Mus musculus: one gene and its partners. The main gene of each other region encodes a partner of the protein of the gene in region 4 in a complex. Links are inferred from orthologs where the notes say so. Each region holds a gene or a part of one and is shown on either strand. Other genes may lie near its edges. The genes, in order: Dpf3, Smarcc2, Dpf1, Arid1b, Smarca2 and Phf10.

Evidence for each region.
Region 1: Arid1b (region 4) and Dpf3 share a complex: the UniProt entries of both Homo sapiens proteins name them as parts of the neuron-specific chromatin remodeling complex. The link is inferred for Mus musculus from reciprocal best matches to the Homo sapiens genes ARID1B and DPF3.
Region 2: Arid1b (region 4) and Smarcc2 share a complex: the UniProt entries of both Homo sapiens proteins name them as parts of the neuron-specific chromatin remodeling complex. The link is inferred for Mus musculus from reciprocal best matches to the Homo sapiens genes ARID1B and SMARCC2.
Region 3: Arid1b (region 4) and Dpf1 share a complex: the UniProt entries of both Homo sapiens proteins name them as parts of the neuron-specific chromatin remodeling complex. The link is inferred for Mus musculus from reciprocal best matches to the Homo sapiens genes ARID1B and DPF1.
Region 5: Arid1b (region 4) and Smarca2 share a complex: the UniProt entries of both Homo sapiens proteins name them as parts of the neuron-specific chromatin remodeling complex. The link is inferred for Mus musculus from reciprocal best matches to the Homo sapiens genes ARID1B and SMARCA2.
Region 6: Arid1b (region 4) and Phf10 share a complex: the UniProt entries of both Homo sapiens proteins name them as parts of the neural progenitors-specific chromatin remodeling complex. The link is inferred for Mus musculus from reciprocal best matches to the Homo sapiens genes ARID1B and PHF10.

Annotation. Positions count from the first base shown.
Region 1 is NC_000078.6:83,368,337-83,373,158, forward strand, and holds part of Dpf3 (zinc finger protein DPF3), read right to left. Parts: intron 2,329-4,822; coding exon 2,168-2,328; intron 1-2,167. UniProt on the Homo sapiens protein: Belongs to the neuron-specific chromatin remodeling complex (nBAF complex).
Region 2 is NC_000076.6:128,461,417-128,466,238, forward strand, and holds part of Smarcc2 (SWI/SNF complex subunit SMARCC2), read left to right. Parts: coding exon 1-55; intron 56-1,564; coding exon 1,565-1,650; intron 1,651-2,275; coding exon 2,276-2,357; intron 2,358-2,450; coding exon 2,451-2,543; intron 2,544-3,740; coding exon 3,741-3,810; intron 3,811-4,020; coding exon 4,021-4,090; intron 4,091-4,822. UniProt on the Homo sapiens protein: Involved in transcriptional activation and repression of select genes by chromatin remodeling (alteration of DNA-nucleosome topology).
Region 3 is NC_000073.6:29,314,076-29,318,897, reverse strand, and holds the end of Dpf1 (zinc finger protein neuro-d4), read right to left. Parts: intron 4,760-4,822; coding exon 4,709-4,759; intron 4,616-4,708; coding exon 4,496-4,615; intron 3,275-4,495; coding exon 3,162-3,274; intron 2,685-3,161; coding exon of another isoform or gene 2,655-2,684; coding exon 2,573-2,654; intron 2,418-2,572; coding exon 2,347-2,417; 3' UTR 1,312-2,346; downstream 1-1,311. UniProt on the Homo sapiens protein: May have an important role in developing neurons by participating in regulation of cell survival, possibly as a neurospecific transcription factor. Belongs to the neuron-specific chromatin remodeling complex (nBAF complex).
Region 4 is NC_000083.6:5,333,564-5,338,385, reverse strand, and holds part of Arid1b (AT-rich interactive domain-containing protein 1B), read right to left. Parts: intron 3,423-4,822; coding exon 3,326-3,422; intron 1,862-3,325; coding exon 1,078-1,861; intron 1-1,077. UniProt on the Homo sapiens protein: Involved in transcriptional activation and repression of select genes by chromatin remodeling (alteration of DNA-nucleosome topology).
Region 5 is NC_000085.6:26,677,761-26,682,582, reverse strand, and holds part of Smarca2 (probable global transcription activator SNF2L2), read right to left. Parts: intron 4,268-4,822; coding exon 4,201-4,267; intron 3,510-4,200; coding exon 3,399-3,509; intron 713-3,398; coding exon 470-712; intron 1-469. UniProt on the Homo sapiens protein: ATPase involved in transcriptional activation and repression of select genes by chromatin remodeling (alteration of DNA-nucleosome topology).
Region 6 is NC_000083.6:14,957,663-14,963,276, forward strand, and holds the start of Phf10 (PHD finger protein 10), read right to left. Parts: upstream 3,599-5,614; 5' UTR 3,533-3,598; coding exon 3,449-3,532; intron 1,864-3,448; coding exon 1,757-1,863; intron 1-1,756. UniProt on the Homo sapiens protein: Involved in transcription activity regulation by chromatin remodeling. Belongs to the neural progenitors-specific chromatin remodeling complex (npBAF complex) and is required for the proliferation of neural progenitors.

The DNA of each region.
Region 1 (4,822 bases), on a different chromosome or scaffold from region 4:
GAATAACGGCTGCAGTGGGTTAAAGTGCATCAAACGGGCTTAAATCCGAGTTCATGATAGCACTTAAAATAACCACATTGATCAACTTTGGACAAGACCAAGGAACCAACTCATTATTCTGAAAACTGGTAAATAAATACAAGGGAAACATCCTTTATCTCCTGTCAGCTGTACCTCATAATAACCAAACGTTTTAATGAGGGGATGTTTTTCTTTACAGAGGCTGTAGAGCTAATAAATGAAAAACCACCATGGCCTCTAATCAAATGCCACACTGGGTTTTTGGTTGGTTGGTTTTGGGGGGGGGTTCTTTGCAACTCTTTAATGGAATAAGAATCTGGATAGTTATCACGAAGGGCTGGTAACGTGAGTGAAAGGGGATAATCAGGCTGCATGAGCCTCCTGGTGAAAGCCCAAACTACCACCTGCTTTTGCCAGAGAGAGAGAGAGAGGAGAGAGAGAGAGAGAGAGAGAGAGAGAGAGAGAGAGAGAGAGAGAGAGAGAGAGAGAGCCTGAATAAGTCTCCAGACCTAATTACCAATTCACAGCAATAACACCATGGGGATGCAATCAGCAAATCTGAGCTCTGGGAAACCCTACAGTGCAAACAACCCAGTTTCTTCAACAAATAACATACAAGGGAGAAAGAGTCTCAGCGAAGCCTGCAGATGTCTAAGGGCAGTGTCACAGTTGCAATGCAGGAATCCTGTCTGGACCCTAGCTTACAGTAGAGGTAGCAGGAGAAATGAATGTTGACCATTTGATTAGGTAGTGGTCCTGGGCTGGCTTGATCTTCTCCTTTGTCCTCTCAGGCAGAGGCTTGTCCTGCATCCCAGGCACACTAGCAATCCTCTTGTCTCAGCTTCCTAACCACCGTGATTTCAGGCATGTCCCACGGCACCCAACTAGTTTGACATTTTAAGTCCAGAGTATTTATACGTGACATGATGTGCTGTCCCAGATCTACTTCAAAGTCATCCGGAGTCAGGGAGAAAGGTGAAAGCTAAGCATAGATGAGACAGTCGGCCATGAGCTGCCTGTTGTGGAGCTTGGCCGTGCGGATTCTGATTTTATTTTGCCATTATCTGAATTTTACATATATATAAAACTTTTCAAAACAACAGAAAAGGTTTGTTGACTATACTCATGAAGGAGTGGCAGCAGAGGCCTACAAACCCCAGCCTGAGAGGTAGAGGATCAGGAAGAGTTCCTGGTCGTCACTGGCTCCGTAGAAAGTTAGATCAGCCTGGCCTATGTGAGACCTTACCGAAAGAGAGGGGGTTTACAAAGATGGCTCGGTCAGCAATGTGCTTACCATGAAAGTATGGAACCTAGTTCAATCCCTAGAAACCATATAAATGCACACACTTTTAATCCCAGAGCTGGGGAGGGTGGGAGAACAGGCAGATCCCTGGGGCTCACTGGCCAGACAGCCAAGCTGAATCAGCAAGCTCCCGGCAAAAGTGATAAACCCTGTTTCAAAAACCAGGATGAAGAACAACTAAGGAAGGAAGGTACTTGCATGCACACATGTAACACACCACACATGCATGCATGCGTGCACCCTATGCACACATGGAAACAGGTATAGACACATGCATGTGAGCACACACACACATATTTTAACATAAGTAAATATGACCACAGAAAAATGCATCTCTAGAACTAGTTATCTCCCTAATCTACACCAGTGGGTTTTATTCTATTCTTAGAAGCCCAGAAGTTTAGAATCACAGTCATAACAATGATAATATTCAACATTTTAGAGCATATAGTATGTTGAGTTGTTTATAGATATCTCCATTTAATCCTGATAAACTCCGTGTAGTAAATAATGAGATTATCCACACTCCACAGACGACAAGCCTCGGGGACAGAGTTCTGATGACAAAACTAAGCCTCACCCACAGCTAAACACATTTACAGATTTTAGCCAACACCCGAGGGTGGAAAATGAAGACTGCTTTCTTTGGACTTCTTTGAGATAAACACCTCACATCATCTTTGTCTGGTCCCTTGGATAAACTGTATACACAGCTAAATTTCTTCACTGTGAGTCTAGCTTATCTAACTCCCAACCCGGCCCAGCTGTGTGAACTCCTAGACACCATAGTATTCCTTCCTCCAAGCTGGAGCCGCTGTGCATGCTGGGAGTGGCATGACTTACCTGGGCCGCGGTGCCTCTTCTCCATCCAGATGTAGCAGTTGTTCTGAGCCACCCCAGTCTGCGAGTCCAGGAAGGGGAGACGCACGCTCCGCTCTGCGCACAGCCTCGAGTTGTAGCTCCGGCAGTGCTCAATGGCTTCCTTGTAGAACTGGTCCCCAAGCCTTCAGGAAACAAGAGAGCAATGGGGTGAGACCAGAGGAAGTAGAAACACAACCGGAGGGAAGCGGTCCCCTACCGTCGCTCCAGAAGAGCTGCATTTATGGCAATCAGCCAATGAGCACCAAGAGCCCTATTAAGGGACAAAATACAAATTGTCAACAAATCTCTACCAGATTCCATTTCCTGTCCCAAATCTACCAGGTCACTTAGAGACTTCTTTAAAATGGGCCCCAAAGAGCAAACCACCAGTAAACGTGACCAACCCTGTACTAAGATGTCCCTGGAGGTGGGACATTCTATAGCAATGTTCTGCTTAGGACTTAGAACATCCAGCTGCCAGAGCCCTCTCTTTTAGCATTCCCCACACTTTGTTCTCATTAGTTGCAAAGCACACCCAGACTCCCATTATGACAGAGAATTTAGAATAAAGCATTTAGGATAAAGACTACACGAGCAGAGATGTCCCATGGAGGTACAGCCATTCACTGTAAAAAGCATATGAGGAAGGGCACGTGTAGATCTTCTAAGCCCAAAGATTAAGATAATTAACTTTCTCTGCTCAAAAAACAAGCAAGAGAGGCATTTAAACTAATGTGGGACTCCCCTCCCCTGGAAATTGCTGAGGGATGCTATGGAAGGGTGAGTCACTGTCTTTAATTGTATGCCTACTAAAGTGAGTCCACTAGGCCCCAGTGCAGAGCCCCACACCCATGGCCACATAGCCCTGGTTAAACATAGTAGGTCACAAAACCAAGAGACAAGATTGTGAGACAGGAACTTGTATATGGAAGGCTGATGAGGTAAGCAAGCTACAAGACAGGTGGTAGTGGGTAAGAGAGATGAGAATGCATCGGGTGTATAAAACTGTCAGAGAATAATAGTGAGGCCACAAAGAAGGCTCAGATGTTACGAGCACTCACTGCTCTTCCAGGAGACCTGAGTTTGGTTCCTAGTATCCAGTTCAGACAGCTCAAAACCACCTGTAATGCCAGCTCCAGGAAATTTAATGTCCTCTTCAGGTCTCCACAGGCATGCACCATGTATGTGGCATAAACACACACACACACACACATACACAAACTTTTAACTAAAAAAAAATAATAATAATAATTGAACTCAAAGCAAGTCAATGCCCAAAGTTGAACCCACAAATAAAAATCTATCCTGATTTGTAGGGTGGTGATCTGACTAAACAGTCAATTTTATATCTGTGAATCTTTGATAGTCTTGGACAAGTGATGATCTTACTCAGTAAACATAATGTCAAGGCAAAACAAAAAACACAACCCATGACAATGATATAATTGTGCAGATAAAAAAAAAACAGTGAAAGCAAAAACCTAACATATAAAACACAGGCGCATCTAGGGCAAGAGCTAAGAGAGAAACCCAAATACAACAGCATAACCTCTGGCAGGAGAACCCGAGCCTTGTGGATAGAGAGGCGTGGAGGCAGGAAGGGGAGGGACATGAAGGCAGGAAGAGGAGGGGCCACAAAGATTGTGAGGGCAAACTGGAGAACTGAGTAAGTCATTTGAAGCACTGTTATAAATGTCTGCCCCATTTCCTCTGGCCAGTCCCTCCCTCCCAGAGGTTGTACAGCTACCAAAATATACCACCACCTGGGGACCAAGTGCCAAACTCAGGGCCCATGGCGAATAGCTACACTCAAATCATAACAGGTATCAAGAGTTCTTATGTTGTACAACTGACAGCAGCGTCCATTTCCAGAACTCTTCATTCCTAAAAGCAGAACTAAACAAGCATTAAACAGTCATTCTTCCCCCTTCCCCCAGTCCCCCGCCACTGTCTGCCTCTGTCATTTTGACTAGCCAAGTACTTCGTAGGATTTGGATCTTTTGAGGACAGCATATTGCACTTAGCATATTACAGCATTCTAGATTCGTCCATGCTGTAACGTATGTCAGAATACCCATCTGTTTTAGACTATTTCTATATCCCATACTCTGCTTATCAGCTCAGTGGTCAATGAAGACGTGGATTGCTTTCATGCTTAAGTCACTATGAATATAGCTATACTCTCTAGAGAAATCAGACATACAGGTACAAATATCGAGCCTATACTTTCAATTATTTTGAGTTCAGGCCCAAGAGTAGATTTGGTGGACCATCTGGAAATTTTTTTTTTAAAGTATCTTTCTGTTATTCACAGTTCCTGGGCCATTTCACAATCCCAACAGCAATACACGGGTTTCTAATCACAGCACATTCCATACTGTTTGTTAGAAACCAGGATTTTTGGTTTTTTTTTTTAAGTCAATGGGTCAGATCCTATTAAAGATTTATCATTACCATTACTAGTGTGTGAGTGTGGGGGCAGGGCACTGTGTGGAGGTCAGAGGTCAACTTTGCAGAAGCAGCTCTGGCCCTCCAATAAGGATGGAATTGAGGTGGGCAGGCTTGCTCAGCAATAGCCTCTACCCACTGGGTCATCTCACCAGCCCCCAACCAAAGGATTTAAAACAAACATCTTAC
Region 2 (4,822 bases), on a different chromosome or scaffold from region 4:
TCAGGAAGAGGTTTTTGGCAAACATGTCAGCAACGCACCGCTTACTAAACTGCCGGTGAGTTCAAGGGGAGGGGGACAAATCCTCCGAACTGGGAAGAGGTTTTTCGTTTGTTTTGCTCTTTAAAAAAATTTTTTTTCTACGTGCCTGTAATCCAGAATTAGGGAGATTGAGACTGGCGAATCAAAAGTTGGAGACCAGACTGATCTATATAGCAATTCAAAGACAGTGTGTGTGTAGTACCATGTCGAAAAAGAAAAGCAAAACTCATCTTTTTCAAATTTCAAATTTTGGGGAGTTTTTTTTTTTTCCTTGTCCATCAATAGTCAGAGCATTACAGCTTGACCTAGCCCCCAGTTGATCATTCCTGTTATTTTAGAAAAACTTCACAACCCGTAGTAATCTGAGAATGTCAGGTTTAGTCCTGCAGTGTTTCTCTCTCTCTTTCATGGTTGTTCTTGGGGGCTGAAGAGATAGCTCAGTGGCTAAGAGCACTCACAGAGGACCTAGGTTCAATTCCTAGTACCCACATAGCAGCTTACAAACATCCCTAGCTTCCGTTCCAGGGCATCTGATGCCTTCTGAGCATCATGGGCATGCAGGAAAAGCACTCACACATGCAGAAGAAATAAATCCTAAACCGGGTGTGGTGGTGCATGCCTTTAATCCCAGCACTCGGGAGGCAGAGGCAGGCAGATTTCTGAGTTCGAGGCCAGCCTGGCCTACAAAGTGAGCTCCAGGACAGCCAGGGCTACACAGAGAAACCCTGTCTCGAAAAACAACATCAACAATAAAAAAGAAAGAAAGAAAGGAAGAAAGGAAGGAAGAAAGAAGCCCTAAAAAGTTAAAAAAAAAAAAAAAAGTGAGGCTTTAGGTCAGATATGGTGATACACCTGGAGTGTCCACTACTTAGAAGCCTGGTTCAGGAAGATTACTGATTCAAGCCAGCCTAGGAAACTTAACAACAACAACAAATTTAAGAAAAGGGATCCTGGAGGTATAGTCCTAACAGAGCACTTGTCTAAACTGTGAGAGGCCCTGAATTCTGTCTTTAGTAACACAAAGGAAGGGGTAGCCCAGTGGATAAAGTACCTAGAACTACTCACATGGGTGGAAGGAGAGAACCGACAGCCTGTGATGTCCATTAGTGTACACATACACACATAACATATATATTACACACACACACATATATACACATACATATCCATACATATAACATACATACACACATATACATACACACATACTATACATACTCACACATGACATACATAGAACACATACATACACACATACATACATACATAGAACACACACGACATACATAGAACACATACATACACATATGACATACATAAAACACATACATAGAACACATACACATACATACAGAGAGATAGAAATTCTAAATAAATAGGTAAGTAAATGTAATTCCTTAAAAGGAGGCACTGGAATTTAGATTTGCATAAACTTGCCTTTATAGTCTTGTGTGTGTGTGTATGTATGTATGTATGTATGTACAATGTAACTTTCACATACTTCTTCCCTGTCTCAATTTTGTAGATCAAATGTTTCCTAGATTTCAAAGCAGGAGGATCCCTCTGCCATATTCTTGCAGCTGCCTACAAATTCAAGAGTGACCAGGGATGGTGAGAATGCCTTTTCTCTCTCTGCCTTTCATATTTAGTTAAGAAAGAACTTTCTCTTATTTCCTGGGGTCCCTCTGAAGTGAAAGAACAATGTAGAAATTCTGTGTGTCTCTTATAGATCAGAAGAATAGATGTCATGGCCAAAGTAGTCTCCAAGCATGAATGAATTGGGAATGAGTTCTTATTCTTTTGGACTAAGCGTGGAGTGACTCACGCATTTGAGACCAGAACAACTGGGTTCCCTGTGATTTGAGTGAAATTTGTTACAAGAATACCTCCTAATTTCCCACTAGGAAGTTATATACCTTTGGGGCTAGAAAGATGGCTCAGTGGCTAAGAACCCTGCTGCTCTTCCAGAGAACTCGGTCCCATTCCCAGCAACCACATGACTCACACCCTTCTGTGACCCCACTCTCAGGGAATCCCATGACCTTTTCTGGCCTCTATAGGCACACTGCACACACATGGCACACAGATATACAAGCAGGCAAAAGACCCAAACATATAAAATAAAAACATAAACTAAACTAAAAAAAAAAAAGAAGAAGAAGAAGAAGAAGAAGAAAGTAAGGAAACAAAAAGGTTCCCCAGATATAAACTTACTAGATTATCATCCTTTTATAAGGCGGCGTTACGATTTCCAGAATCCATCACGCATGGACCGCAATGTGGAAATGTTCATGACCATTGAGAAGTCCTTGGTACAGGTAATATACAAGCACATCCCCCATCCATTTCCCTCCCTTCGTTAAGAGTACAAAATAGCTCTTCCTCATCTTGTCTATGTCTCCTCTTCACAGAATAATTGCCTGTCACGACCTAACATTTTCCTCTGCCCAGAAATTGAGCCCAAACTGCTAGGGAAATTAAAAGACATTGTTAAGAGACACCAGGTGAGTGGGAGGCAGGGTGAGTAACTCAGAGGTTTCTGAAGTAGGTGACTGGTTTACACAATGTTAGCACGGTTTCTCATGACTGATAGTGTTTCTGTTGGGAAGCAGCTTGTAGTACCATACAAGCTTCCCACACTCCTGCGCTGTGGCCTTTCTGGTTAGAGTGAGAGTTAAGTCTTTGAGCAGCGCTTGTCCTGTTTGCTCCATTCCTCAGGTTTGGTGGGTTTATCAAGGGTTGCTCTTTCACCCTGCTTTGACCTGGGTGATAGAGAATGTCTTCCACTGAACTAGAGATACCTGATTTCAGAAAAATCCAACCTGGGAATCAGCTGTAGTGGTGTATCCTAGCACTTGGGAAGTAGAAACAGAAGGATCAAGAGTTCAAAGTTCCCTTGGCTACATAGTATGTTCAGGTCTGCCTGGAGTGTCAAGTGATACTGTTAAAACAGCCTCAATAAATCTCTGCTCTTTGGAGCTCCTTTTAAATAAGCAGATCTTATGGAATAGGCACTCATAGCCCACTTTGAATTTCCTATAGGTCTGATGGGTCAATGGGTAAAGTAAGTTCTTATTGTGCAAGCATGAAGTCTGGATGCCCAGAACGCATGGAAAATGTGGGTGTTACGGCTCATACCTAGAAGTGCCAGCCAGGAGGGAGGAGCAGGTAGATCCTGAGGGCTCATTAGCCAGCCAGCCTAGCTGAAAAGACAAGCCCCCAGTTCACTGTCACATTTCTGAAGTAGGTGACTGGTAGAGAGTAATAAGGGACACTTGTGGTTGACCTGTAGCTTGTGCATGACCACAGACAGTATACTACACATCTGTGCAGAGGGTTAGTCTTTAGCTTTTCTCCAGTGCTAACACATCATTAATACTGTGCTTCTTTGCCACTTAGGTGGTGTTGCAAGAAAATACAAACTAATTTTAATACCACTTCAGGAAAGATGTAATTTGAAAGGCAGATCTGGTTACATTTTAGTTGTTTTTATTTTCTTTCTTTCTTTTTCTTTTTTTTTTTTTTTTTTTTGAGATAGGGTTTCTCTGTGTAGCCCTGGCTGTCCTGGAACTCACTCTGTAGACCGGGGTGGCCTCAAACTCAGAAACCTGCCTGCCTCTGCCTCTTGAGTGCTGGGATTAAAGGCTACTAGAGAATACTTCAAAAGGAAGTAGATTTACTGCTTTTCCTTGTGCTTCCAGGGAACCATCTCTGAGGATAAGAGCAATGCCTCCCATGTTGTGTATCCTGTCCCAGGGAACCTAGAAGAAGGTGAGACTTGGGTTTTTGTGGCCTCTGCTGTGATAACTTGGGCTTTCTGTCACATAAAGGACTACTTACATCCTGATATAACACCTATGGTTATGAGCCTCGAAATCCTGAATTCCTGTTACTGAGTCTCCTGCACATCAGCAGAATGCTTAGTTAGAGCCTGTGTCCAGTCATTTTTCCCTTCAGCATATCTCTCTCTTCTATCCTCAGAGGAATGGGTACGGCCAGTCATGAAGAGGGATAAACAGGTTCTTCTGCACTGGGGCTACTATCCTGACAGGTGAGGACGGGTTCTCAAGAGCAGACACAGGTCCGTGTGGCAGAGCAAGGAGGCCTGAGTCAATTGTTTATTTACTTATTTGGGTTTTTTTGGGATACAGAATCTTGCCATGTAATCCAGGCTGGTAAAGAACTTGCTATCTAGATTGTGCTGGCCTCAGACGTGAAGCAGTCCTTGTACCTGAACCTCCTGAGAGCTGGGATTAAAGGCGTGAGCCACCCACTGGCTTTGTGTGTGTGTGTTTGTTCGCTTTTGTCTTTTTAGCTTTAATTTTTAGTTTATGTGTACGGTTGTTTTGCGTGCTTGTATGTCTGTACGCCTGAAACTAGAGATATAGATTGTTATGAACCATGTGGGTGCTGGAAACCAAACCTGGGCCCTGTACAAGAGCAGTAATTGCTTTAAATACTGAGCCATCTCTCTAGCCAATGCTTCTTGGTGTTTTGTTTGTTTGTCTGTTTGTTGTGAGACCAAATCTTAGAGCCAAAGTCATCTAGAACATCTCCCTTTACCTCCTCAGTGCTTGGATTGCTTAGGAGAGCCACCATGCCCAGCGCCCAGTTCCCAGTGTTTGCTCTTTGTTAGTTTTTCAAGATAGGGTTTTTCTATGTAACAGCCCTGGCTGTCCTGGAACTCACAGAGATCCATGTGCCTCTGTTCTCCAAGATCTGGATAAAGATGTGTACCACCGTCAAGACAGGATCTCACTATGTAATTTCAGCCAACCTGGAA
Region 3 (4,822 bases), on a different chromosome or scaffold from region 4:
ATCCTCACTCGCCACCCTCCTCAGGGCCCCATCCAGCCCAGCCCTCCCCCCATCAACCTGGGCCAAGTGGGGGAGGGAACCCGGGAACAAACTGTTCTCACATCCTCTCCTGGCCTGGGAGACATACCACCATCTCCCAACACCCCACAATTCACACGCGCACCCGCACACGCACGCCAAGCCCTGAAGGCGCCTGCACTGCGCCCCGTAGTCCCTTCCCTTTCTTGCCCCAGTTTTTCATGCCCCTCCCCCACCTCTCCTCAGTCTGCCTATCTCTTTGGCCTCATCTGCCTGGCACTCTCCAGATTTCTGTTGTCTGTTCGCACCCCCACACCCCTTTCTAAAGAGAAGGCTCATGCTATAGCCCAGGATGACGTGTAACTAACTCCCCGTCCCTCCTGCCTCAGCCTCCAGTGTTGGAGTTCTGAGCCACATAGTGTGTTACCATCCTGGATGGCGGTCCCTTACATTCTTTATTGCCTTCCAACCAAAAGTCTCGCTCATTCCCGTGTCTTTTGTCTGGGGGCTTTGCCTGTCCCCTTATCTCATTTTCTCCCTCTGACTTTGTACATTTTCTGCTTGTCTCTCCAAACAGCTGTCCACTTCTCCCTCCCCTGGTCTTGCCAAAGCCTGGCTTTTTTTTTTTTTTTTTTTCCTTTTTCTTGTTTTAAACTATTATTTACTGGACTAGTCCTCCACCCCGTCCCTGGTCCCTGTCCTCTTCCCTCGGAATTCCTGGGACTCTCTCTTCATCTGTGTATCTCTCCAGCTTTGTCCTTTTTTTCCATTCAGTACATTTGTGGCCTCAGAACCATCTTCCTTCCTGACCATTGCCCTGGTTCTCCACCCCCACCCACCCCCACCCCACCCTGCCTGTCTCCTTGAATCCCTGTGTTTTGAGATGTCCTCCTGTCCTCCACTTTTAACCACACCCAGGTCAGGGAATCCCAAGTGACAGCCAGCCATGCTGAGGTGCTATCTCCCAAACCCTAGCCAGGGAGGGGGCTGCCTTCTGGTCTCTCCAGCCCTCCCTTCCCCCCAGTCTTCACTCCCACCTCCCTCTTTGAGCTGCCTCCCGCTGCAGCTGCAGCAGCCCGTTGCTATGGCAACCACAGCTGGCTGGGTGGGAGCCCCTCCACCCCATCCCCCTCTTCTCTCCAGCAAGACAGGGAGGAGCTGGGACAAAGCCACAGGGAGGCATGGTGTAGGGGCAAAGAGGTGGGGGCCAGCCACAGTGGCTTCTACCCCAGTGAGGCCCCTTGGCTTCCCATGTTGGTGACACCCCAAAAGAGGTTAGAGATGGAAGCAGTTGTGGGCAGAGGGGTCAGGCCCAGTTTAATACACAGAACAAGTTAATTCACAGCAGAGGCAGGCAATAAAGGAGACTTGGTGGCAAGGGGGGTACTCCTGGATTGGGGGCAGACTCCCCCAGACCCTCCACCTCCCCCACTTGCAGTCTCAATTTCCCCTTTTAAAAACCCGAACAACAAACACACACAACCACGAGAAACAACCACACCCCCTTGCCACCCCCAAATGGCTAGCGAGGGGGGCAGGAGGCAGCCCAGCCTGGCTGGGTAGGGAAGGAAAGGGGTGGGAAGGGAGAAAGGAAAAAAAAAAAAAAAAAAAAAAAAAACTGAGTCCATTGCAATCTGTGCTTCTCACTGCAGGGGGCTGGCTGCCTGCCTGCCTCACCCCACCCGCCTCCCCGGCTGCACGCCCCAGGCCTGGCAGGCAGGCACCACGCGGGCGCAGGGCGGGGCTCTCAAGGAGGAGGAGGAAGAGTTCAAAACCATAGTTCACATGCAGTATCCACGGTGGGTACTGAGGAAGGGGTGGTACCCACCTCAGATGGGAGTTGAGACCATTGCAACTCCAGAAATGAGGTGGGGAGGCGCCATTCAGGAAACTGGTAAAGTCAGGTCCCCAGCAGACACTCAACAGTGCCTCTCCACCCAGCCAGGCTTTATAGGACTCTTTGTATATATTAATTTTTTTCCCTTTTTTTTCCACGTTTTGTCTTTTTCTTTAGAAAAAGGCTCTTTCCGTGCTGCTGGCTAGCATCCACTACCCCTCTATGCCCGCCCAAAGGCGGGGGTATGGCTTTGAGGAGAGCAGAAGCCTGGTGCCCATTTGTCAAGGGATGAAGAGGGGGGACAGGAGGGACCCTGTTGGACCCAGCCACCCACAGGGTAACATTCCACTTGCAGAGGGAGAACACCTTGCCCCCCCCCACTCTGGGCTTCACCCCATCCCTTCCACTGGGGACACCGGGTGGGGAGCGCCAGGAGCTCCAAGAGGCAGGAGATAGCACCACCCAAAGATCCTGGGGAAGCAGAGCCGGGCCTAGGTCAGGGTGATGTAAGCAGAGGCCTTTTCCTTCAAGTGCCGGAGACAGAGGTGGCAGCTCCAGCTCCCTGCGGGGGAAGCCAAGAGACAAAATTAGACTGGAGCCCGATGGAGAGATGAAGAGCGCCCCCCACCTGTCCCCACCCGGAGCACATGGTCTCTGCCACCAGGAAGACAACGTTCCAACCCACCCACCCCATGTCTCGCCCACCCCTTCCCTCACCTTCCGGGGGCTCCGCCATGGGAGGGCTCAGGCAGTACATGTGGTAACCTCGATCGCAGTCATCACAGAACAGCAGCTGGTCCTGGGGGGTGAGACCCGCCCAGCTGGCACCCTGGGGGCACGGGCACCAGAAACCGGGGTGGGGGGCTGGGGCAGGGGCTGGGTCCCAGGGGCCCTTCTGAGAAAACTGGCTCTGCAGCCTGTACTGTGGAAGTCCACTGGCCTTGTCTGACGACTCACGGAGTCGGATTTTGTACTGAGTGATGCTCAGCGGGCCAGATACCAACTCCGGAGGTTCAAATCCTGGCCCTACAACCTTCTGACCTTGGTGACCTCAGGCCTCCTTCTCCCTCCCTGAGCTCAGCATCTTCTATGTGTAGTGGGAACAGGAGCACCAGCCTCAAGGGAGGTGGGGAGGTGTCATGGGAAAGAATATAAAAGAATAAGGACGGTGGCAACCGTACTGCACGCTAATGCTGGTCACTGGGAGTTATGAACAAGGAAGACTTTTAGGCCTCATGGGCAGAGTGGCAGAGGCAGGCCGGAAGGGAAGCTGGGGATGTGCCCGGGAGATGGGGTGGGCACTCACGTCATTCTCCGAGGTGCCACACAGGCTGCAGGACTTGCATTCAATGCACTGCCAGCGGTAGGTCCGCACAGCCGCGGTCATGTTCACCGTGAACTGTAAACACGAGGGATGTCCTGGGGGTCGAGGGGCAGGGATGCAGTTAGTGAGTTGTCATATCCCTGGTGGCTACTGACCCCTGGGGAGGTAATGGCTCTATCCCAAGCCCTGACTCTGAGGTCAAGGCGAGCTTTGTGGTGGGACCCTACCCCTGAGACAGACATCCGGAAGCTGGACTGCGTGGCAGGCAGCTGTGTGTTGGCCACCACAGTCTCCTACTCAGCCACCATGACAACCACACTTTGCTCCCCAGAACACCATGGCAACCGCATTCCATTACCCACAGTGCTGTGGCAACCACGTTCTACCACCCACAACACTGTGGCCACCACAGTCTGTTAGGTATCGCACTAGGGCAGCCACATTCCAATACCCACAGAGGGGCTGCCAGCCCTCCTGCTAACCACAGCAACGTGGCAGCCAACTTCTGCCAGCCAGGACACTATGGCAACCAAGCTCCATAACAGGGTCCCCACACCTTGCTTCGCTGAGACCAAAGGCCAGCCCACACAAGGCACCAGCAAACAAACTTCCACTGACAATGCTTGCCGTGGGAATTTGCTCAGTCATTCTCCCACAGTACGGAGACACCTGTAGCCACTGCCCACAGCACTTCCCACAGAGCCTGACAACCACTACCCATATCATTCAACAGCCACTGCCCACAACACCCAACAGTTACAACTACATCCCCCCGAGCCAGACACCAACAGCCCACACAGCCTGTCAGCCCACAGCGCCCAGTAGCCACAGCTCCTCACAGCCACAGTCCACCAAGACATAATGACCACATTCTACTGTATTAAATCGCAAAGACAACCCACACTGTAACGACCACAATCCATTACCCACGATGCTGATGCGACCAGTCTTACTACCCAGGAGGCCTCCATGGAAAACCACATTATATTAACCACAGTTCTACAGAACACAATCCTGCTATTCCCACTACCTAGGCGGTGCAATTCATTGCTCCCATAGCTCTGTCCCCTACCCACAATGCCTCCCTAACTTCTCTCTACTCTCCACCCGGGGAGAGCACAAAGCCATGGCACCTCGTACTGTTGGTTCCTCCTGTGCCAGCAAGTCCGCTCAGTTTCCCACAGACCCCGGCAGCAGAGGCAGTCCCAAGGACAGGCGGGGTACAGCCCTCGCTCCCCTTGCCTCCCATTCCCTAAATCCAGATTCTGAGATGCCCTCTCCCCGCCATCTTCCAGAAAATATGTGGTGAGTGTCACCTGATCGCCCACAGTCCGCACAGGAGATGAGGTCCTCGGGACACCCAGTCTTCTTGGAGCCCCCCAGGCAAAAGTCACAGTAGCCATTGGGGATGACAGTGCCATCTGGTGCTTTCTTGGCTGAAAGACAGCAGGCAGCGGTGGGCACAGGACAGGTGAGGCGTGCCAGTCAAAGACTGCTGCAGAAGTCGGGGAGGAGGGAGGTGCCCCTACCTGTGTGTTTCCTCTGTGCCTCGGGGACCCAGGCCAATTCTTTGTAAAACTCTGGGGGTGGGGGGACAGAAAGGGGCTCTTACCATAGGCAAGGTCCCATCTGTCCCCAGCCTC
Region 4 (4,822 bases):
GCACCCAAATGGTAGCTAACAATCATCTGCAACCCAGTTCCTGAGGCTTTAGCACCCACTTCTGGCTTCCTCGGGCACTGCATGCATATAATGCAGATATACGTGCAGGCAAAATACCACATAAATATATGCTTTCAAAAAGTAGATATGTGTATCTATTTAAACACACAAACATAAATAGCTATTTCATTTTCATTGTTTATAAAATAGGGCTCAGTATCTATACGCCATCATCTCTACAGCTCCCATATATAAAAGATACCATATTTTTCTTATTATGTATCATCTTAATGTCTAACAACTATAAACATCTTTAATATCATTAATTAAATAGTTTTCATTTTCTAATCACAGCAAATGGTTTTACGCCAACTGATTCCGAAATCTTTGAAAAAATTTTTCTTACACAACGAAGAGCTATTATTTCCTCTGCTGTGTTAAAAGAACTTCAAAATGAATGCAGAAAAAGCTGTGTTAACTACCGGGCATTCCAGACCATTAATTAGTATTCCCATCGCCTCGCAGAGGGTAAGCGAGCAATATTAGCATTCAGCTGAGGTTAACTCCTTGGCCTGTATCTGCCAGTGTGGTGTAGATTACATCAGTTGAATATATCATAGCAGAGACCATCCATATATCATATCTACCTCCCTATATAGCATAGCCAGGTTTCTATTTTCCCCATGGGAATTCATCTTATATTGTCACTCCAGTCGCTGGCCTTCAGTTTCCTTGGCCTCCAGTGGATCTCTTAAGCATCCACTGTAGCAGTCAAGCAGCTTGGTTATGCCTGAAGCTCAAGCCAGCACATAGCATGTGCCACTGAGGAGCTCTGGGCCTCGTCCCTGGAGTGCTAGTCTGTCCTTTGCACCTCAGAGGATCATTTAGATTCAGTCTATTCTCTGGCCTTTTATTCAGATGAGTGGCTTTTAACCAATGCTCCCATATATAAATAGCCTAATAATTTGTATTATTGAGATTCTCATCCAATTGAGATATATGGGAATTATGTCTAAATTAAAAGTTCCAGATTGCAAAACACAATCCATTTCCAGAACAGTCCTTTCAAATTCTTACCAATATCTTTTGAGGTAATCTTTCGCCTTTGTTTCAGGATTGGCTGTGATGCTTCTACGGAGCCAGGAGGAAAGGTAATCTCCCTTCTGATTGGTGGAGGCTGTGGGGGGGGCCCGGTGACCTGGGATGTGGGGACTGTGGGCATGACCTTCTGCATCTTCATGGTGGGCAGGAAGGGAGACTTGCTTGGAGACATGCGACTCTCCAGGGAGCGCTGGAAGGAGGCGGGGCTGGGTGCCCTGGAGATGTGGTTTGGCAGTGACGGCGGCGTCTGGTAGGATGACTGAGGTGGGCGCGTGATGGGCTGCATGGAGGCCGAAGATGACATGTAAGGCTGGCGCTGGCTGACGTGAGAAGGCCACTGGCTCTCGTGATTGATCCTCTGCTCAGGTACCATCATATCATCTGTGCGGTTCATGCCTGGGTAAGGGGGGGCCTGTGCAGGGCCGCCCGGGCCTTGCCTGCTCTGGTAGGGATAAGGCATATCGTTGCGTGTAGCCCACATGTTCTGCTGAGGCCCCTCGCTGGAGGATGACTGCATGGGGCCCCCCATCATCTGAGGTGGGATTCCGTGTGGCTGCATCTGGCCTGGGCCCTGCATCCTTTCTCTGTTGTAGGGGTAGGGATATTGTCCCTGGATGGGCCTTCTGTCCGGGCCAGAGTAGGAGCCTCCATACTGGTTATACATCTCCTGCTGCTGGCTGCCATACTGCATGTTGTACATGTCTCCCTCGTGCCGCTTGGCTGGAGGCCCGTACATGCCATCCATATGACGTTTGTAATTCTGAAATCCATATAAAGACAAATCGTACTCATGCTCTCTGAGAGGTATAATCACACACACTGAAATTATGCAAAACAGTTATTACTGGGTAGACTGTTCATTTCAAAATGGATATGGGACGCTCCTATGTACCGACAAGCACTATCAGTTTAGGCTTGTATTTCAGTATTGCCCCATACTCTTAGGAGGGGTGCCTAGGTTTGTTTTCATGTGTAAGAAATTTCCTGTGACCCCTCTCCTTGGGAAACATGGGGACAGTACAGCACGGCTGTCCACCACGTCAGCACACATGGACAGATGGGACTGAGAGCGCCCTAGGAGCCAGGCTGCTCTGACTCATGAAGCAAACTGGATATTTCAGGGCCATTCTGGGAGGTTCTGGGCTAAAGGGACCCTAGATCTCAATAGCTGGCAGAGCCTCTATGCTGACACAGCTCCTGGACGATGGCACCTGCTGCCCATATCTCAACTTGTGCCCAGTTCTCCACAAAGCCCTTACTGGTGCCTCCACACACTCCTGCTCAGCTCTCCTCCAAGAGCCTCTCTCACCACTGCCCACAGGTGGGCGGGAGATGCCGAGGGGTGCACTGTGTTATTTCAGTTAACTTCAAACTGTTCACGGCGAGTTACCTCACCAACTGTAAGGATGCACTGTGACTTCTGCAAGTTAGGTTTTACAAGACTCAGCTGTGAAGGATGACAGCATGAACTAGCCTATTACAAAATATGCCATTAATTTATCATTTTAAAGAAAAAATTAGTGAAAGTTCTTTAAGGGGGAGTCAGCTATGCAGCAACTAGAGTACTGCCCACCAAAATATGTAGTATTAATATCTTATTTTAAAGAGCAGTCTTGGTCTCCAACAGTCTGAGTTTCTTTTATTGTTTTATTTGAAGTATGGCACACTTCTTTCCTACAGTGCGTTTACTAAATAGCACACAGTTGTCCTCGGGCATCTGCAGAGACTACCTATCTTCAGGACCCCTGAGGGCCACATCCATGAACAGTCAAGTCCCTTAGTGAAGAAGGCTGGGGCTTGCTACAGCAGATACACACTCTTTGCCATTCAGTCACTTCAGATACGTCCTACAATATCAGTGAAAGCTACCCAAGAGCTGTGCCCTCTTTGCTGACTGAACAGCAGTGAGGGGTTGCACATGCCCTGTGCACTTGCCTTTTGACCTGTGGTTGGCTCATGGGTCTAAAACCCGTGGGCAGGAGGGGAGGGTAGCATAGACACATGTCTAGCACGCTGCACAGATTCCAGAATACTGCCTGTCAAGAGCTGTTTTTAACTTTCTGAGTTCAAAATCCCAGGAGTATTTTCTAGCTAGACCTACCCTGATGATTCAGTAAAGAGTGTGACTTTTGTTAGCTCTCCCCAAATCTTCACAAGAAGAACTTTGGGTTTCAGTCTCCAGCAAATGAAAGGGATAAAGGCCCATGCCCCCTGGCCAACTTACCGGCTGCTGTGGGTACAGGCCAGGCTGGTGTCCTCCATACGGTGGCTGTCCTGTGGGAGGGCCTTGGCCTGGGTACTGCTGTCCGTAAGCCTCATGCCTAGAGCAAAGTATTCAAAGACAACTTAGTTTCCTCAGGACTTGAGGCAGACACAGACAGCCCATTTCTAGAAGCTCTACCCAAGGCTCTGCCTCTCCCCACACACTGCTTTCAACAGCACAGGAGGCCACAGCTGTGCCCCAACTTCTTACAGAGATGGTAACACCCATCTCAGGAGGCGAGCCAAACTCCAGTTCAGGCTGTTGCTAACCGGTGTCAGGGATACCGGTTGGGCAGGCAGAGCCTTGTGTGTGCTTGTCCAGGCTTCCTTGGAGGCGGAAGCCCCACGCCCCGAAGCTTCCACCAGCAAGAGCCACACGGTGTTGTCATGGGAGCAAGAAGCAAGAAGAGACAGAGGCTCAGAAGCAGCATTTCCAGAAGTATCAGAACATGGATGATGCTTCCATCTTCTGCTTCCTCACTGAGGACACAGGGTTTAAAGCTATACGTCATGGGAGATGGAGAGATGGCTCAGTGGTTAAAAACACTGCTCTTCCAGAGGACTCAGGTTCAATTCCCAATACCTACACGGCAGCTCACAACATCTGTAACTCCAAGATCTGACACCCTCACATATACCATGTACATAAAATAAAAAAAAATAATAAAAAAGCTATCCTTAGCAGAGGGTTGGTCAAAATGTCTAAGTTCCTGACTACTGAGAGTCGGGAAGGCGACGGTAACATTGACTGATGGGAACGTCAAGTCCCTGCACAGAAACAGATAAATGGTCATTTCAACTGCTCCCACACTTGTGAAAGGTAAATGCCATAAAATTAACATGCTTAAGGGTGATAGATCTTAAACTTTGAAAATAAACTGGTTTAGGTTAGAAATACTGAATCTTGTGAAAGGGGAGAGTAACTGGGTTGAATATATTATTAATGTGATCAAGAAATGAAAATAGGAAAAAAAACAGATTGCCATATCCAAATAGACAGAAGACTCTAGAAGGAAGTTTAAAGAAAAGAAACCTAACTGACAAGGATGAAACTTAAGGTAGGCAGTAGCACTTCTCAGAAGACTGCTAATGCAGCAGAATGCTCTGCTATGGGTGAGCCAAAGCCCGGCCCACAGCAGGACAGCAAGCTCACTGGAGATTCCCAGGGGTGTCTGTCCTGGTACAGCTGCCTAATCTCATTGGAAAACAAAACAACAGAAACAAAACAGTAGCTCTTACTGGATCCTAAAACCCAAGCCAACTGAAGCCCTAAGCTTTGCACTAAGGATCCACAATGGCTGAACTTAACCCTCATCCCACACATCAGGCATCGGTGCTGTTCACTGAAAGCAGGGCGTACCAACAGATCCATCACATGTGATCAGGGTATGAGGGATAGCCAAAGCACTGTACACCGAGACTCACCCTGTCACCCTGGTAACCAGTGACGCTGCACTGG
Region 5 (4,822 bases), on a different chromosome or scaffold from region 4:
AGATAAAATGGAGCCTTACACTAAGACATGAAAAAAAAATGTGTGGAAGATTAATGTTTTCATTCAAACTCTACATGGAAGTACATAAAAGAAGACTCCTGAGTCTACAACACAGAAAAATATTTGGGTTCCTGTTGGATTGGTTGATGTGGTCTGGTTAAAGTGACTCAGCCAACATCTCCAGGCTCACCCTCCCTGTGGCGTGCTGTGGTTGAACACCCTACCAGTCAGAAAAAAGCAGGCATATGGCAGAGGCTGGGATGCCCCCACGTGAATCTAGATTCAGAAGGCAAAACACAATCCCAAAATGAGACCCCATCCCACCCACTGAGCAAACAACATTGTAGAGTTTCTGTAGTCCGGAGTTTTCACTTCCTCATCACAAAGTGGCAAATTCTACCCCCCCTGCAACCCCTCCCCCCGCTTTCATCCCCCCTGCCCCCCATCCCCTCCCCCATTTGGTCAGTACCCTTTCACCGGTCATGGCAAATGGAGCATTAAACCACTGCTCAAATGTGCTGCAACTCTTGAAGATTGTAGGGAGGAGGAAGTTGAGGAGGGCCCAGAGTTCCGGAAGCTTATTCTGCAGTGGGGTCCCAGTCAGAAGGATCCGCCTGGGGGCCACATAGTGTGTGTTCAGGACCTGGGTTAGCTTGCAGTGGTGATTCTTCATCCGGTGGCCTTCGTCCACGATCATGTACTTCCACCGAATCTGCAGGACAAAAGAACGCACCAAGGTGTGGCTGGGAAACAGACGTACAGTGGCTTCCAAATGGCTGCGGGCATGTGTGGAAAAAAGCAACACAGAATCCAGTTTGGCACAAGACACAGAATGATACTCTTTCCCAACTAATGGAACATTGCCCATGCCTGGCCAACGTTAAAGCATCAATGTTTCTCCCAGGACAAGTGATTCTAATCCACCTTCTAGAAACAATATCTGTGCTTTCCAATGCTGTGATGTGAAAGGGTCATTTGACACCCCCCCCCAAAGGGGTCTCAATCCACAGGTTGGGAAACTCAGGCCTACACAAAAGGGATATTGGAAGAAGAAGAAAGAAGAAGAAAAGGGAAGAAAGAAGAAGGAAGGAGGAAAAGAAGAAGAAGGAGGAGGAGGAAAAGAAAAAGAAGAAGGGGAGGAAAAGAAGAAGAAGAAGGAGGAGGAGGAGAAAAAGAAAAGGAGGAGGAAGAGGAGAAGGAGAGAAGGAGAAGGAGGAAGAGGAGGAGGAGGAGGAGGTGAAGGAGAAGAAAGAAGAAGAAGAAGAAGAAGAAGAAGAAGAAGAAGAAGGAAGAAGGAAGAAGGAAGAAGGAAGAAGAAAGAAGAAAGAAGAAAGAAGAAGAAAGAAGAAGAAAGAAGAAGAAAGAAGAAGAAAGAAGAAGAAAGAAGAAGAAGAAGAAGAAGAAGAAGAAGAAGAAGAAGAAGAAGAAGAAGAAGAAGAAGAAGAAGAAGAAGAAGAAAGAAGAAAGAAGAAGAAGAAAGTCTGCTGTTCCACTGTCTCTGGCTCTGGGGTGAAAGTCAGAGGAAGCAGACAGGCAAGTGTGGCCTAATTCTCACCTCCTCATTAGAAGTACCAGTGAAGCCAGGGAAAAGAAGGAAAACCATCAGCCAAGCTGGGCTAGCCAAATAAAAGAAACTCCCAGCATTCCCTGCACCCTTTTCTCTACCAGCACCAGCTGTGTAAGACTGACCAAAGTCCTGCAGTCAACTTGCCAACAGCAGAGAAAAGATTAAAAAAAAAATGCATCTAAATAGATGTTCTAAATCTACTTTCTTCCTCAGTGGAGCTTGGGAGGCAGCAAAGGAACCAGAGACCTTTGATTCCACCACCAAGTAAGTACTAATTAAGTCTTCTGCTTGGAAAAATTACTACCCCTTTCGGGAGTACCATTTCTCCAGTAACAAATAAAAGCATGGCGTCTCGTTACGGGGTGTCTCTGGCGACTTTTGAAATACATATGCACAAGACACAGATTTTTTTTTTTTTTTTTTTTTTTTTTTTAGGGATCTCAAAGGTACACACACATTCCCACAGTAATATTGGAGACACGTCATTTCTGACACTGCCAAATTCATCTCGGAGCATGAGGAACTGGAAGGCGGCGGTTGCTGTCAGTGCCGTCTCAATTATTAAGTGTCCCCTGGGCATGCATTTCCTTTATGTTATTTCCTATGATACCATGAAGGGAACACACAGCTCCCAGAGCAAAGGTTTAATGCAGAGAAGGAACAAAACTCAGCAATGGGGATTCTGTTCAATTCTGACCATAACTTACTTTTAGATTAGACTGATTTCCAAACACCATGGGGTAAAAGAAATTACCACGGGGAGAGGGGGGGAGGAGGGTGGGGAAATTAAGTTTTCATGATTTGTTCCAAGAAAGACGGTACTTCCATCTTCCTGTGTGAATACATTAGGAGACAACATGATATAAATGGGAAGAGAACCTTCTCATTTGTGGCTAAAGGACAACTTTGGACATTCAAATGAGGAGCCAGGGAGGGTCACAGACACAACTCTTTCTCTGTGCCAAAGAAATAGCCACACGAGCAGCCCTGAGTAATTTAAACAGTAATGGCCCATTATTTTTTACCAGGAAAACCTGAAAACAGATAAAGCACACAAGCTTCAGCTTGGAGACAAGCTCTGGTGGGGGGCACCATCTGGAGAGGTGCCTATGAGAGAGAGAGAGAGAGAGAGAGAGAGAGAGAGGCACAAGAGGAACGAAGCCCTGCTGACAGTAACCCAGGGCAACAAAAACAATTATTTCTTTCCAAGCACATTCAGAGCTGCTGGAGAGAAGTGGAACCCAGGTGAATTTTCTTAACAGATGTGTAAGTGGGGCTGGAGAGATGGCTACTTTTGCAGGGGAATCGGGGTTCTATTCCAAGTGCTCATATAGAAGCTCATAACCCTCTCTAACTCCAGTCCCAGGGGGTCTGATGCCCCCCTTGGCCTCCACAGGCCCTGCACACTTGTATGTCTGCAGGCAAAACACTCATACTCATAAAACAAAGAAACAAACAAACAAAAAAAAACCCCTAAACAACCCAAAAAGATGGGAACTCACTACAAATGACCAGGAAAGGGCCCAGGGTACATCAACCGAAGGCATTTCTTTCTTCCCCTCCTCTTCTTCTCTCAGTCCCCCCACCCCCCGCCCCAGTCTCCCTCTCTCTCACACACAAACACACACAAAATACCATACAAAAATATTAAATCCTGTGACCAAGATTTCAGGAGGAAAAAAAAAAAACCTGAAGAGGGAAAAAAAAAAAATCCAGCCATCCAATGACCAAATGATACTGTTGAGTATAATTTGCAGGATACTTTATACTCCAGTGAGATGATCCACAATTAGAGATAAAAAAAAAAAAATTAAAGAAAAAAAAACCATACCTTTGCAAGAATGTGCTTGTCTTTTATAATGTACTCGTAAGTAGTCAGGAGGACATTGAATTTGCCACTCCGTAGCTGGGGAACGAGGGAGCGTCGCATGGCAGGGGTACCCTGAATGGGAAGAAAAATACATCGATTACCCACTGGAAGCACATAGGTGCGATTTCTCACTGTTCAGAGCTTAATGGAGCCTGGACAGGCGATGTGCACATAAATGTATTATCATATAGTGATCTATTATCTCTGAAGAAAGTGGAAGCTAAACCACACGTATCTTGACCCTTTCCAGGTCCTTACAGGAAGGTTTCCCACTTACGACTGAGGAAGGGGAGAGAGAGAGAGAGAGAGGAGGAAATTGCAGTGAGCTTGCAGTAGTCGTGGGGAACCCGCTGCTTGGCTGAAAGGCTCTCTTTCTGTGGGAGAGTGCAGCAGGCAGCCCGGTGCCCCGTAATTGCCTGCCAAGGCAGGAGGAGCTGTCGGCACAGTAGAGGCCCACAGCAAGCCAGTCAGCAGCACACAGAAAAGTGTGATATTTGTCATTTGTATTACTCTCATCAGAAACCTCGCAATATGATAATTAACAATTTTCTTCTGCATTTCACTATCTGAAAGTAATTATGGTTTATTACAGTAATCTTCTTGGGATGATTAACTCTCACTGTTTAGTACATGATGTACATGACAAAACTTTACAGCCAGATACAGTTCACAGATGTGCACATGCAAGGGAGAAAACATAGCTCAGGGTTTGTGTTTTTTTTTTTTTTCTTCCAGGTTTATATAGAAACACAATGCTCCAAACCTTGTAAGAAATTTTCACCACAGAAGGAGCCCATTTGTCAAATTCATATGTCCAGTTAGACAGAGTCCTACAAAAAGAAACAACAACGAAAAACAGTAAAAACCCACACACGTACACACACATATATAAAAGTCAGTTACTGGAAACCTGTTACTTATTTCTAGCCCTTGCCCTAAGAGGGGCTAGAGAATATAAACTATCCCAGACACATATTTATTTTAAAGCTATGCAGGTAAGAGGCAAGTTAGAAATAAGCTGCCACAAAGCACGACAGTTTTACACTTCATTTAAAAAAAAAAATCTCATAAGAAACAATTCCCAAGTATATAAAGACAGTGAGCGATGTAGCAGACTCCTCCTATGGTTCCGAAACCCAACAACGGCTGGAGGGTTTGAGATCTATACAGTTCTGGAAAGCTACTCAAATCAGGAGAGAGAAATTACAAAACCACCTGAAAACAGTAAATAGACCTGTCAAAGGACGCAGGGAAGAAATACCGAATCTTTTTTTTTTTTCTTATTCCTCCAAAGTGAAACCATAATATCCAAGTCAGCCCTGAAAATATAGTTTGAACACAAAAGGGCATGTGAACAATATGAAGGCAGATAACTCAGCCTTGGT
Region 6 (5,614 bases), about 9.6 Mb from region 4:
AACTGGAAAAGCAGAAATTCCAAGAACTGCTTTCTCAATGAACTGGACAATAAGCAATAATTTTATTTCTTTATACTTTACAAACCCAGAAGCAAAGACCAGATCTATCTGAAAGTTGCAGTGTGCTGCACTCAGCTGCAATCCTGAGTAGCAAAGTCGGGAAGGAACGTGTCGATCTCCATAATCCAACTTCTAAATTAGAGGCAGGAGTACAACCACGGTTTGCTTCATTTATTCATTCAAAAACTAGCTCATGAAGCACCCAAACCTGGTGCTACAAAAGAACAGAAACACGCAAAGCTACAGAAAAGACCCTCACCTCCTGTCACATCACATCCAAAAGGTAGCTCAGAATGAATTAAAATCCTAAATGTAAGAGCTGCCTAGAAAACCCTATGTTAGCAACAGATTCTTAGACTTAACACTCAAAACAAAAGTTATAAAAGCAGACATTAAAGTTAGATTTTAGAAAGTGACACTATCAACTACAGGGGGAAAGAGCCAGAGTGCTGGGAATTACTTACAAACCTGATAAAGGAATTCATATGCAGAATACATAAAGGAGCCCCATAACTCATCAGCACAAAATAAAAGAGAAATGGACAGCTGGGCACAGTGGTGCATGCCTTTAATCTAGCTCTGTGAGCCAGCCTCATGTACATAGTAAATTCAAGGACAGCCAGAGAAACATACTAAGACCCTGTCTCAAAAAAACAAAAACAAAAACAAAAACAAAAACTGGGGTAGGGGTGGAGAAATGGACAGAGAAGTAAATAGACATTTCTCCAAAAACATAAATCAAATGATCAAAGAGCACCTAAAAAATATTCGGCAAGCACCACTAGCCATGGTATACAACACAGAATCACAGTGGGTGATCACCTTATGTCTTTCTGGACGCCTATCAGCAAAATGAGCAAAAATAATGTTGCAAGGTGTATTGTTGGTGGAAATGCAGACTGGTACTACTGCTATGGAAATGTATGGAAGGTCCTTAAAAAGTCTGAAGACAGAATCAACGTGTGGTACAGCTTTCTACTTCTAGTTATATACCAGAGTATTAAGAACAGGGGTCTGAATGCCAGTGTTCACTTCAGCATTAACTACCCCAGCCTGCAGGTGAATGAGCACAATGTAGCAGAACATACGATGGAATATTGTTCAGACTTAAGGAGCTCCAACACGATGAACCTTGAAGATACTATGGTTATGGGTAAGCCAGATAACACGGGGCAGGTACTGTCTGGTTCATACTCAGGGCAGGAAGTAGAACTGTGGTAACCAGCAGCTGGAGGCAGGAAGGGATGGGAGGTACTGGAGGGTTAGGCAGTTTGAGTTACTAAAGTTTTGGAAAGGGCCGAGAGTGATGGTTGTACTGAAATATACTCTTTATATATAAAAAGTGTTACAATGGTGAGTTTTATATACCTACTTTACCATAACTTTTTAACAGTTATCAGGAGTGAGACCTACTTTGATAGTATATGACTTTTTTAGAAGATTTGTTTGTTTGCTCTCTATACAGACATTTGTGGAGGCCGGAATGGACCATGAGATCCTCCAGAGTTTACAGGAGCTTATGAGATGAGATGTGGGGCTGCTAACCAACCTCCAGTTAAGCAAGCACTCTTAACTTCTGAGCCATTTCTCCAGCCAACACATATAATTTTTAATAACTGTTTCTGCTGCCTGGAATAGGCAGGAGAAGAAGAAGTGAGCAAAAGTCTACGAAAGTTACTACTGAACCTTAAAGTACCTAAGATCTTGACTTGAAGTCTCACAACTTCTTGAGCTGTCTCCTGAGCCCATTCGCCTCCTTTTACATGGATGGGTCCCATCATTTGAGTTATCTTCATTATCATCCTGTACATTTAAATGATTAAAAAATTAGAAAATTTAAGAATGAATAAAACTAAAATCTGACCTTTAATCGAAATGAAATTAAATTTTCAACTGTATTTTAAATGTACTCTGCTTTCACTTTCTTACCAACTAGATTGTGTTCAAACATCTGCTTTTTAGTAGCCACACCACTTTAAAAATCAAAGCAAGCCTTCCTATTTGAGCTGGGAAATAAATACTAGTAAGTTTCATAGTACCCTTCAGCTTACAACTGGCCCCCCGGAGGCGCATTTTAATTAGCTACTTTGGAGATGAAGAAGGACTGGATACAGGTTACCACGTCTAACTACATTCCTTTTCTTCTGCGGCAGAAATTCAACACTTTGTGATAAACTCATAGGAGATATAGGTTGTTGAGCCATTCCATTAAGGAAATAAGTAATCAAATGTTTTAAAAACAATTCATTACGTTAATTAATAGGCTTAAACTCCTATTTTTTTTTTAAATCAAGGTACTATAGCTCCTAACACTACTACTCTTACTATAAATTTCAATAAAGGCCCACGGAAGGGAATGAAAAGGCAGCACAGGCTAGCATGCCAAGTCAGCATGGCACTGCGGGCTGCCAGAGAATCTTACTGAGCACTGCCCTCCACCAGCTGTGTGCTGCAAGCTTCTCCCCAGTCCTAAAGCCTAGGTGGCTGATGCAAGGATGCAGTGAAGTGATCACATAAGAGCCAGGTAGCACATAGCTGTCTGATATATGTTAACGTTGTGATTAGCAGTGACTTTATATTTCATTATGTCTCCAGCACCTAGGAATTTACTAAAATTACTTTCCAAATTAAAAAAGAACATAGAAATCATTCCCCTTTTCACTCTTCAAGAATGAAATCAAGTAGACTTAATATTCCCTTTTAAAGCTAACAATCAAGAAGTTGAAAGATAATTAAATTTCTTAGTATGTTTTTCACTGTATTCATGGTCCATACTGGCTTGACACCGTTAATTTTAAGCACTATTTTATTAATTTGTGGACATTTTAAGGATTTCTGTATGTCAATACTTTTACTTAAAAACAATGATCCTCTCGAAAAGAAACAATAACGGAAGTTGACACAGAGTTTACCAGCTCACAACTGTAGGAATCCTAAGGGCTACGTTCCAGGTAAGGCCCTCCCCTCCGCACCATCCTCGGTCAGGACAGGGAGCCAGCAGCCCCCTGCGAGCAGTCAGAGACCCCACCAGGGAGGACCGGCACGTGGCGGGGGCCACCTCGGCTGGCCGGGTCTGTGGGTGTGAAACCACGTTCTGCCAACTCGGGACCCCGAGCGCACGTCCCGCTCAGCGTCTCCCCGACTGAGATCCCCAAGGCCGCCAACTTTTCCGACTTTCCCAGGCTGGGGGCGCTTCGTCTCAAGCACTCTTCCCGAGTCCCCCGGTCCCAGCTATTCCCGGACAACTTCCCACCCCGCCGCGCAGGTCTCCCCGACGTCCGCGCCCACTGTCCGCCGCACTTGTTGCTCCAGGACCCGCCGCCCGGTCTCCTCTTCTCTCCCGAGCCCGGCCTGGGCCGCTGCCCCTTGGGCAGCGCGCTCCGCTCACCTTTGGGGACTGCGCTCCGGGGGAGGCCGGGTCGCTGTCGCACCGCCCCGGGGACAGCGCCGCCCCGGGCCCGGCCGCTGCCATCAGCCCAAGCGCCCCGCGCCTCCGTCGTCGTCGCCGCCTTCGCCTAGTCCCAGCGGCCGCCGCCGCCGCCGCTGCCGCCGCTGTCGCGCGGGCCGCCCGGCGCCCCGGCCCCGCCCCCTCCGCCCGCCCGCCCGGGGGCCGGCCCCTGCCGCCGCGCGCCCCGCGGCCCGCCAGCGCCACCGCCATGGCCGCCAGCGCGCTGCCGGCCGGGACCCGCACGCCGCTCACGTCAGCCGGCCGCAGCTGCGCGGCTCCGCCGGCCTCGGCCGGGGCCTTGCCGCCTTGCCGCCTTCACCCGGCGCGCCGCGCCCGGCCTGAGCTCCGCTGGCCAGCCACCGCCTCGGTCCCGGCCCCACCCGGGTTCCTGGCCGCCTGGCGAGCTCGCTGCCGCCCCTTCCCTGCGCCCCCGGCCCGGCCCTCCGCGTCAGCCGCGGCTCCGCGCCGCCCCGCCCCGCCGCGGTCCCGCCCCCTCCCCTCCTCCGCTGCGCGTCAGCCGGGGGTCCTCAGTCGGCGGTGCCTGCCTTGTCCCCACCTGGGTCCCTAGCCCCTCCCCTCAAAGATGTGTCTTCACCACGCTTGTTCTCCAATCCCTCCCCCGTACCCAGCTCCTCCCCTCAGCCCGGGGTCGCCACCACGCCGCCGTGTCCTCCCCACTCCCGATCATCAGCACCTTAGCTGAGGGTCCCTACCGCGCGGTATCCTCCCACCAACCCCACCCCTACCGGTCCCCAGCCCCTCCTCTCAGCCCGGGGTCTCCACAGCCGCGGCGACCTCCCCTTCTCCACCAGGGTCCTCGCTCCCTTCTGTAAATGAAGGATTAGTGTCCTCAGCCCACTTCCTCCTCTCTCGCAGCCCTTAGGGTCAACCACCCCAGGAGCTCCGCCTCCTCCCTCTTTGAGATCCCCTTCTCCTGAGTCCTTTCTGACTTCTCCACCCCACCTCTCCATCTTCACTCCACACACCCCAGGATCCCCAAGGCGCTCTTGGCTCATTTGTTCTACAACTGCTTCTCCTGTGACCTTGGCGTAGTGGCCCCCATGGCCACGGGAAAAGTCACAGCAGCACTCAGGTTGAACGGAACCCAGTCAGGCAAGGAGAACATAGGGAAGGTTCCCAAAATCATATGACAGAGTCAGCACAGTCACCTGCAGGACACAGGATTGGGAATTCCTGGAAATGGAAGCCAATTGTCCAATGGTGTTTGGACAGGATTTATATTGATGTTAGTGCTTAGACTTCGCCACAGGAAAGGCCGTACCCCACCCTTTGAAAAGAGCACCAGGAAGACAACAGGTCCAATGGACAAAGGCAAGGGGCAGAGAGGCAGGCCTACATCCCCCACCCCCCATCCCCTCCACTCCCCACAACACTTCCAAGAATGTAGGGGACCAAACCAGAAAAGGTGGTGGTGATCTAGCTCTTGGATTTTAGAATTCGAGTTCCCTTTCACAGCCACAGCTTCTAGCTCCAGAAAGTAAGCCCAGCACTTCTCTCCTCCTTTGAAATATATATAGTGTATCCACATGAAGTATAGAGCCGACAAATAATGTAGAGGTGAAGGGAGTGCCTGCCATAGAGCAGGATGTCTGCAGCTTCAAGATAAAGTGATACACAAATATATATAACTGAACTTAAGGGCATCGTAGGTGGGAAAGAGCATACTTGCAATTAAAAAACAAAAAGATTTTAATGTTATAAAATTTGAAAGTTAAGAAATGAGAGAGGGGGCCGGGCGTGGTGGCACATGCCTTTAATCCCAGCACTCGGGAGGCAGAGGCAGGTGGATTTCTGAATTCGAGGCCAACCTGGTCAACAAAGTGAGTTCCAGGACAGCCAGGGCTATACAGAGAAACCCTGTCTCGAAAAACAAACAAAACAAAACAAAACAAAACAAAACAAAACAAAAAGAAGGAAAAGAAAAAGAAAAAAGAAAGAGAGAGACGAGAGACAAATATAGTATATATAATGTGGAACCTGGGATTTGTCTAGTTCTTTCCCTGATGTAAAAAAGTACTCTGACCAAGCAACCTATGGGAGAAAGAGTTTCTCTGGCTCCGTTCAAGTGTACATACAGTCCAGGGG